Danio rerio: one gene and its partner. The protein of the gene in region 2 purifies or fractionates together with the protein of the main gene of each other region. This does not show direct contact. Links are inferred from orthologs where the notes say so. Each region holds a gene or a part of one and is shown on either strand. Other genes may lie near its edges. The genes, in order: ociad1 and mtch2.

Region 1 (4,558 bases), on a different chromosome or scaffold from region 2:
CAGTTTTTTGAATGCATCATTGTAAAAGTAGACGTTTACAATAAATAAATAAACAATTTCCTACTTAATAATAATAATAGGATTGGAAATTTTGTATTGTTCTTTTACCAAACGATGCATACTTTGTTCTTTAGTATTTTACCCTTTTTAATGTTGAGGGGTTTGCCTTATGTTTTAATTGCTATGTATGTGATGTAGATTTTATTTTTAGTATTGATTGTGTGCAGCACTTTGGGCAACGTTGTGTTGTAAAAATGTGCTATATAAATAAATAAACTAATAAACTAATAATAACTGGTACTGTGATAGTTTAGCCAGAGAACCCCAGAGAATAAACAATGACAATTTTCCAGTTTGGGGTGAACTACCCCTTAAATTTCCCTGAATTAACAATAACCTTTATAGTAATTATTAATAACAGGGTGAAATGTTTTTTTTACTTTATTATTATTTTAAGAGAGACTAAATATACTTTCCAAAAGGTATATCTAACAATATACATTTTCGAACACTTTAAGCGCATTAAAAAAAAAAAAGAAAGAAAAAAAAAAAGAAGCATATCTCAGAATTTTTAGAAATACAATATTCTCTATATAGGCGGCTGCACTATGGCACAGTGGATATCACTGTCGCCTCACAGCAAGAAGGTCGCTGGGTCAGCTGGCATTTCTGTGTGGATTTTGCATGTTTGTGTGTGTTTGTGTGGGTTTCCTCCAGATGCTCCAGTTTCCCCCAGTCCAAAGACATGTGGTATAGGTAAATTGGATAAGCTAAACTGTGTGTAGTGCATGTGTGTGAATGAGAGTGTATAGATGTTTCCTAGTGATGGGTTGCAGCTGGACGGTATCTATCCACTGCAAAAAACATGTGCTGGATAAGTTGGCCATTCATTCAGCTATGGCGACCACAGATTAATAAAGGGACTAAGCCGACAAGAAAATTAACAAATTTATATTTATATAATCATATTCTCTATATGGAAACTTCCAAGGTTTTCCTTTGTTTTAAATCTTCACTGATAATTCCAGGTTTTCCATGACAATAGGAACGAGAAACAGACGTAAAAACCTGAAATATAGGACTTGAACATACCTTTTGCTACCAGTACCTGAGTGATTCCGACTGCTATTGCAGAAAATGGTAAAGCTGAAGACAATGAGAAAGCACAAACACATAATCAGAAACGCTCATCTGTATCTAGCAAAGGCTAAAACGTAATGCAGAAAATCAACATTTAATGACTGGATAGCATTACTCACATCTGTACCAGAAGCTTTCTGAGTTGCACTCCCTGAAGACACGCTTCTCTTCTTCAGTGGGAATATAAGCAGAATTAAAAGCACCCTGAGGAGGCAAAATTATGAGTAATTAAAGAACACCTATTGATGATTAAGTGACACACTCTGCTTTTTGGAGTACTTCTGCGTGAGACAGAGCAGTTTAGTTCTAGTTTACAAACACTGCCAGGTGAATTTACTGCCTAACGTTACCTTACTGGACCCATGCTGGACTTGGGCAGCCGGAGTGAATCCAGACGATGCTTGCGACATGACCAATCCTAGATGCAATTACAAAAACAACGTTTTTGCAGTAGCCATGGGATTACGCGGATTACCAGTCAACAAGTTCAACGACACATTTTATGACATGACCTCCAGTCGACTCTTATTAGGAAAACAGACCAACCCGGAAGTGCAGGCGTTAGGCCGGAAGTACAGATTAAAAGTCTCTTTCGATTTATTGTTTTGCCTTGTGAGCTTTTGTTTACTGTATAAACAGTTATGTAATGAGGAATGCTTTACTGTAAATTCGACTTCGATTAAAAACTAATTTTAATTCCCCGGATTCTTAATTTAATAAATTATTTAAATATACATTTTTAGTTTCTTTACATGTATAAGTAAATTTGTATGTGAACTGTTTTCATACGACACGTAGACTTGTAATAACATTTGTAATACACATCTAATAATAACGTGCGATTTTAAAATAACAATATTCATAACATTTTATGTGATTTCATGTTTATTTATTTAAGGGGCAAAAAGCGTCCAAACACGTGAAAATGTGTAAGACTAAAACTAATAACCCATTTACAGCAATAAATAATGGTTATGCTCATCTTAGACAATATAAATACTTTAGTCTGAACAGAGAAACTACATTTAACTTAATAGAATCATAACTGACACTAAAGTGTCAGTATAAGTACGTTATTAATCGCTTTCATTTGTATGTCAATAGCATTTAATTACTTCTATCGACCGACTTTACAGAGAATAACTAATCTCATAAACAACGAACAGTAAACGGGTCTGAACTAAAAAAAGATTGATTTTATCAGGTCTATGCTGCTTACGAACGCGTATGACAAACCGAGGGAGTCTTGTCCTTCAACCTATCCAGCAGTAGTGTGCGTTGATTGACGTCCCAATCCGCCAATACAACGGTCCGTTTGTTAAGCGTGTGAATGCGAGGGGCGGGGCTTGGATCCGCAATCTTGACACAGCAACTCCCCTATCAGAACAGCGGATTGTCAAAGCCGTTAGCCAGCGCTGCTCCAATCTGATGGACAGGGAGGTGGGCACGTTGTCATTCGTCGAGTTTTTAGGTGTTTTGCGAAAAAAGACCGAGAAGATCAGCTTCAAGATCGAACACTAGAGGTCAACGGATGTAAAATGTTGTTTTTGTAAAGCTGGAGTTGGTCTCGCCATCTTTTGGAGAGAAGAGACATCGGGTTTTCAGCGCTAGCGTGAGCAGGCTAACTGACGAGGAAAAGCGCAGCTGCTCTAAAAAAGGTAAGAAAGGCCGAATTCTGTTTGACTAACCTCAAATATCCGACGTCTAACGTTGGGCAGGGAGAGTAAACTTATTGTTTAACTCTCATCGGTTGTCGTATCACATGCACTTCCCCTCGCAGGATATTATCAGTTGGTAGACAAGTTATGTTATGTTGACCTGCATTTGAAGCGAAGATGAGTACAGTCAGTGGTTGTGTCACGAAACATAGTTAGCAGTCTACTTAGACAGCCTTTCTAGACACCATTAGTGCCATTCGTGAGTTAAATAGGCCACACGAAACAATAGTTTAAATGCACAAACCATAGTGTAAGTTTTTGCGAGCCAAAACTGCATTTAACCTGTCAGAAAATAGAGAGAAGCCGTGTTTTTGCAAGCATGTGACGTTATGAAAACTCTTTAGAATAGAGTTATAGTTACATGTTTAGTGGAGGAATAAGTTATATAGTAAAGATCTGCGGTTTTAGTTACAGGATGTAACTAGGCTGGGTTTTAAAGCCACCAAGTCGTGTTCATTAACAACTCTCCTCTTGTTTGAAACCACCAGATTATCAATCTGTTAGTTTACTTTCTCTTTTATTTCCTTAAGAGATAATGTAAACAAATGCAGTAAAACCAGAGCAGCCGTTAGTGTTGAGTTATTAATCTGCAGACATGGCTTTGTTTCATTTTAGACAAACTTATCTTGTCCATCTAATAAAATCTGTCAGATGAAAGGCTCACTGATGTTAATTGGTGTCCTATGCAAACATGTGCATGAGTCATAAATTATGTTAACAACTCGAGAGTCTCAGCATTTGGTGAGAGAGGGCTGCCTATTCAGCAGGGAGCAGAGAAGAGTTCACACTCCTGATCTTGAAGTGTAAACTCTTCCTGCTTACCGCTTTGAGTGTCAAGACAGTAGTGTTTCTCTTGTGAACAGTAGTGGTGTTCAGGGGGGAAGACTGCTGCATGGGATTGTTTTAGCATAGGTGTTACATTCTTGAAATTTTTGCTTTTAAATTTAGTATATATATTTTAAATGCAGTGCATGCAATAACACAAGTAAACAATATCTGAAAGACTTGTGTAAATGTAATTTTAAGTGAAGAATCAGAAACAAATCAATAAGAAGTATTGAGTGATAGTTTTTCTTTTTATTTCTTGTCAGTATTGTGTAAAAGCTGGCCTGCTGTAAAATCTTATGATAATAGATTAAACAGTTTTGTTTCCATACTGTGGAATCGGTTTCAAGGTTTACTGTGGTTTGGAAAAATCAAGGTTTTAAAACCTCTAAAATTTTCTGTTATACCATTCCTAAGGTATATGTAAGATTTTTTTGAATGTGTTTTTTAAATGTGTTGAAAAAAATAAGTGTTTTTGAAACTAATGAAGACAGCAGAAGTCAATCATTAATTTAAATTATTTAGCCTGACATGTTTGCTGCTCCTAAATAAAAAAACTAAAATGATTTTTGTTCAATGGGATAAAAGTTTTTTATTATTTTTTTACCCAAATGTTAAAAAAGAATACGAGCAATTCCAGCGTTATGCATGTGACATTTGCAGTAAAAACTCAAAACATAAATTCGCATAGAAAGTGTGTTAACATTATATTGAAACTTTTGTTTATATTTTCCAGAACAACTGATCACAGAGTTATGAGACAGTTATATCAGTCTGTCAACATGTTTTGTACTTTATATGAAGGAAATAAACATGAGTTATGGATGTGACAAAAAAAGGTGATAATCAAAAGGATATGAGTTGGCTCTCTATAA
Region 2 (3,827 bases):
CAAAATCACGATTCTTTCTCAAGATTTTGTAAATGTAAAATAAAGGTTAATATGATTAGCCTATTTTTATTGTTATTTCTCAAACACATGGTAAAACAACAATAATGTTAGGCCGGTGTGTAGCTCTACTGTTGCTTAAAATGCTCAATTTTTTATTATGGTGGACTTCAACAGACTTTAAATATGTCCTGTTTGTTAATTCACAGTAAAATGATGACATCAGAATATAACTATTCATAATTATAAAGTTGATTTATTATGTTTAAAACATGTGCTTGTCATCTGTCAACATTATTAGACCATTATATATAGGCTAGGGTTGTTATACTGAAACAGTAAACATTTATTTTCATGCACAACACTTTGTGTTCGCTATGAAAGAAAAAAAACATTCAAATGCTTGTAATCATAACTCTAAAATGCGATATGCTCATTTAAATGTGCGCACAGGTTTCACTTTCTCTTCAGAGTGTGGCTCATGGCTGTTGTCACTGTGAGAGAAAAACACATACATGCAAATCAAACCTCCCGCACGGCTCTCAAATGATTGCTCTGTGCAACCAACTGAACGTTATTTACAACTTCATTACCTGTTATTCACAGCATATGCAGGTTATATTCACTGAAGTAGGCATCATTTGCATGCATCCGCGCATACTCAGCAGTGAACAGTGCGTCAGCTCTTGTGTGATTTCGTGACCGTGAATACATCGTTACATGAAGACAGAAATGACATTTTGGGTGAATTATAACTTATAAATACAGTATAGGACACTTTTAACTCCATTTGAAGGTGTCAATGTTGCTGTGAAGACTTGTTGGGTCGCCTTTTCTTCTCTCCTGACCTTGAAAATATAATTAGCTGAATCGTAGAAAAAGCTGAATTAGGATTGTGTGCAGGGTCGAATCGAGATTGTGATCTTTTTTCGATTAATCGTGCAGCCCTAGATAACATTGCTTTTGTTTGTTGAATATCTACTTCTTAGCAGTGAGACACTTTAATTTTTGATATACTGTACTTGGTAGTCTGGATTTGTGTGACCTTTAGTCATTGTGGAGTAAGATTTAACTATTGACAAAGTCAGCCAGTATATTCATAGTCGTGTACAGTATTTTATCCTTTTAGTTAGCTTTCTGTAAGCATAATCTGTGCCGGGTGTAGTGTTCAGACTGTTGCAATGTGACTTTCATGTTTATCTGGCTGGGCACAGTTGAGCAGAGGTTATTTATACTTGTTTTATCTGGCTCTAACCTTTTGTTATAACCCACAGAAGTGCCAGGAGGAAAAAATTGAGGTAAGAATACATCCATGAATATTCAATATAGGTTATAAATGTATCCTGCACATGCGTTTCCTTAATTTTTTTTTTAATTTTGTGTTTTATTTCTGGAGTCTGTTATACATTAATAATGTCAATCTCATCTTCTTGTCCTCTCAGGTGTTGGGAAGCAGTCTGAAATCAGACGAAGGGTCTCTGCAACAAGTAATAAATGAGGTAAAATAGCTTAAGCTTAGAGTTTAAGACTGGTCTTTGCACTTTTTGTCAATGAAGACTTGTTCACAGTCACGATTTAATGTGACAGACACAAGCAGCGTATATTTTATCAACATACTTTTGTGGTTGCAATGCTTCTTGAAGCCAGAATATTTTTGTGCATGTTTTGATGTTGTTTGTTTTAATTTTCCTGTTTATTTATGTCTTGTCAGACCACTAAAGAAATGATTGCTCGCTCATGTGCTACAGTTGTCACACACCCTTTTCATGGTAAATACAGTTATTAAATAAGTATGTTTTGCAATGGTGATGTATATCTCATTTTCTCTTAGTCTGAGAGTGTGTTTTTTCTTTTTATTCCAGTGATCACGCTCAGATGTATGGTCCAGTTTATTGGCAGAGAAGCCAAATACAGGTCAGTGGTTTAATTTTAATAGTTTTTTATTTTCTTTCATATTTATTAATGTTTGTTTTTGTTCTGTCCAGTGGTGTTTTTGACTCCATAGTTACCATATACAGAGAGGAGGGAATCCTGGGATTTTTTGCGTGAGTGCAAAATTACGACTTCTACTTGCTGCTTAAAAAAACTGATAATAATAGATCAGCATTCAATGACTCTGTGAAACATCTTCATTCTTGTCTTTAACTCCGTTTTTATGTGTCTGTAAACCAACAGTGGCCTCATTCCTCGTCTACTGGGAGACGTTCTTTCCCTGTGGATCTGCAACATGCTTGCTCACTTCATAAACACATACACTATAGATGAGTCGGTACGTAAACACACACGATCTCGTGCATCAACTACAAAGCATCTTGACCCTCGATTTGTACACCGTTATACAAGAACAGCTGCATATGTATCAATCATTATTGCATTCAGGGTTCCCACGTGTCATACAATTTCTGGAATGTCATGGAATTTCGAAAGGTCTTCTTCAGACATGGAAAATCAAATATATCTTTTTTTTTTTTTGACAAGGTTTTTGTTATCAATTACCAAAATGTAATTTGTCTATACCATATCTTATTTATACATTTGACCTATTGTTTTAATTAGTCTCCTTTTTAGCGTTTTTTTTTAACCTGAAAATACATGAAATACACTTGTCAAATTAAATTTTTTAAAACAGGCATGGACAGACAGTTTATATTAGATGCCATATTGGTCACTTTAGGTTGACTCATTTGTATTTATTGAGTAATGATGCACCACCAACATGTAATTATTGTCCAGCTGCTCTCACTATAAAACATTAAAATGTAATAGTTTAAGTACTATTAAACACATTTTTTATAATGAAATCACTGTTATGGGTGTTTTTAAAAAGTATCGCCAGGAAGAATTTAAAGTTATTTATCAAATATTGAATTAAAAAAAATTTTAAGCTTTAATATAAAGTTTTAGTGAATTTTATTTATCACTATTTGTATTTGTTTGTGTATCATTTCTTATTTAAATATGCAGTTGTAAAATATGACTAAAATAACCACACAGTGAGGCAATAAATAAAGAAATGAAGTGCAATTTTTTATTTTATATGTGTATTTATGTATATTTATAGATAGATAGATAGATAGATAGATAGATAGATAGATAGATAGATAGATAGATAGATAGATAGATGGATAGATAGATAGATAGATAGATAGATAGATAGATAGATAGATAGATAGCTAGCTAGCTAGCTAGCTAGCTAGCAGTCACTTAAATGCAGTCGCTAGTCTGTAGGCCATCCTGTTAACTAAGGCTAGAAATTTCAAGAGCTTAAGCCACAAAATGAACATTTTTTTTAGACTGTGTTGGGATACTCTTGTTATTTTAAATATATTTTCAAGATATATGTTTTCTGTTGTTGCTTTTATAATGGCTATTAAGTTAATGATAAACAATATTGAAGCTCAAACTTTTTAAATATATAATAATATTTTATACTGATCTGATCATGTCACTCTGCTTTTTTCAGACGAGTCATACAGGAGAGATCAAGAACTGCTCTCAGGCTGTGACTGGGGTGAGTCCTCTGATTTCATTTAGAAACTGAAAGTATCATTTCATTCAGAAACACTCTTCTTGTACAAAGTATGTAAATGACTTCTATTCGCAACTAAGTTTTGTTCTAAGTGAATTCTAAGTTGATAATTAATCAGGGTCATTGTGGCAATTATTTTACATCACTCACTGAAGATTGCTTTTTTCTCATAGTTTGGCTAAATATGCATTTAAACGTTTTTTGTTTTTTTTTTTGTGGAAACGAGCAAGCAGAAATCACCTGCACTCACTTTTCATTGTCTGGTTTTTGATGTTTAGTAGATTAGTTCCGACAAACGCAG

What was found.
Region 1: the proteins of mtch2 (region 2) and ociad1 purify together in Homo sapiens (affinity purification with mass spectrometry; 3 studies listed by BioGRID and IntAct, with this or other methods). This does not show direct contact. The link is inferred for Danio rerio from reciprocal best matches to the Homo sapiens genes MTCH2 and OCIAD1.

Annotation. Positions count from the first base shown.
Region 1 is NC_133195.1:25,852,724-25,857,281, forward strand, and holds the start of ociad1 (OCIA domain-containing protein 1), read right to left. Parts: upstream 2,994-4,558; 5' UTR 2,959-2,993; intron 2,953-2,958; exon of another isoform or gene 2,829-2,952; intron 2,799-2,828; exon of another isoform or gene 2,531-2,798; intron 2,433-2,530; exon of another isoform or gene 2,360-2,432; intron 1,643-2,359; exon of another isoform or gene 1,559-1,642; 5' UTR 1,551-1,558; coding exon 1,491-1,550; intron 1,345-1,490; coding exon 1,260-1,344; intron 1,147-1,259; coding exon 1,093-1,146; intron 1-1,092. UniProt on the Homo sapiens protein: Maintains stem cell potency. Increases STAT3 phosphorylation and controls ERK phosphorylation. May act as a scaffold, increasing STAT3 recruitment onto endosomes. Involved in integrin-mediated cancer cell adhesion and colony formation in ovarian cancer.
Region 2 is NC_133182.1:38,885,671-38,889,497, forward strand, and holds part of mtch2 (mitochondrial carrier homolog 2), read left to right. Parts: intron 1-1,271; coding exon 1,272-1,295; intron 1,296-1,439; coding exon 1,440-1,496; intron 1,497-1,708; coding exon 1,709-1,766; intron 1,767-1,859; coding exon 1,860-1,911; intron 1,912-1,982; coding exon 1,983-2,042; intron 2,043-2,172; coding exon 2,173-2,266; intron 2,267-3,460; coding exon 3,461-3,508; intron 3,509-3,827. UniProt on the Homo sapiens protein: Protein insertase that mediates insertion of transmembrane proteins into the mitochondrial outer membrane. Catalyzes insertion of proteins with alpha-helical transmembrane regions, such as signal-anchored, tail-anchored and multi-pass membrane proteins.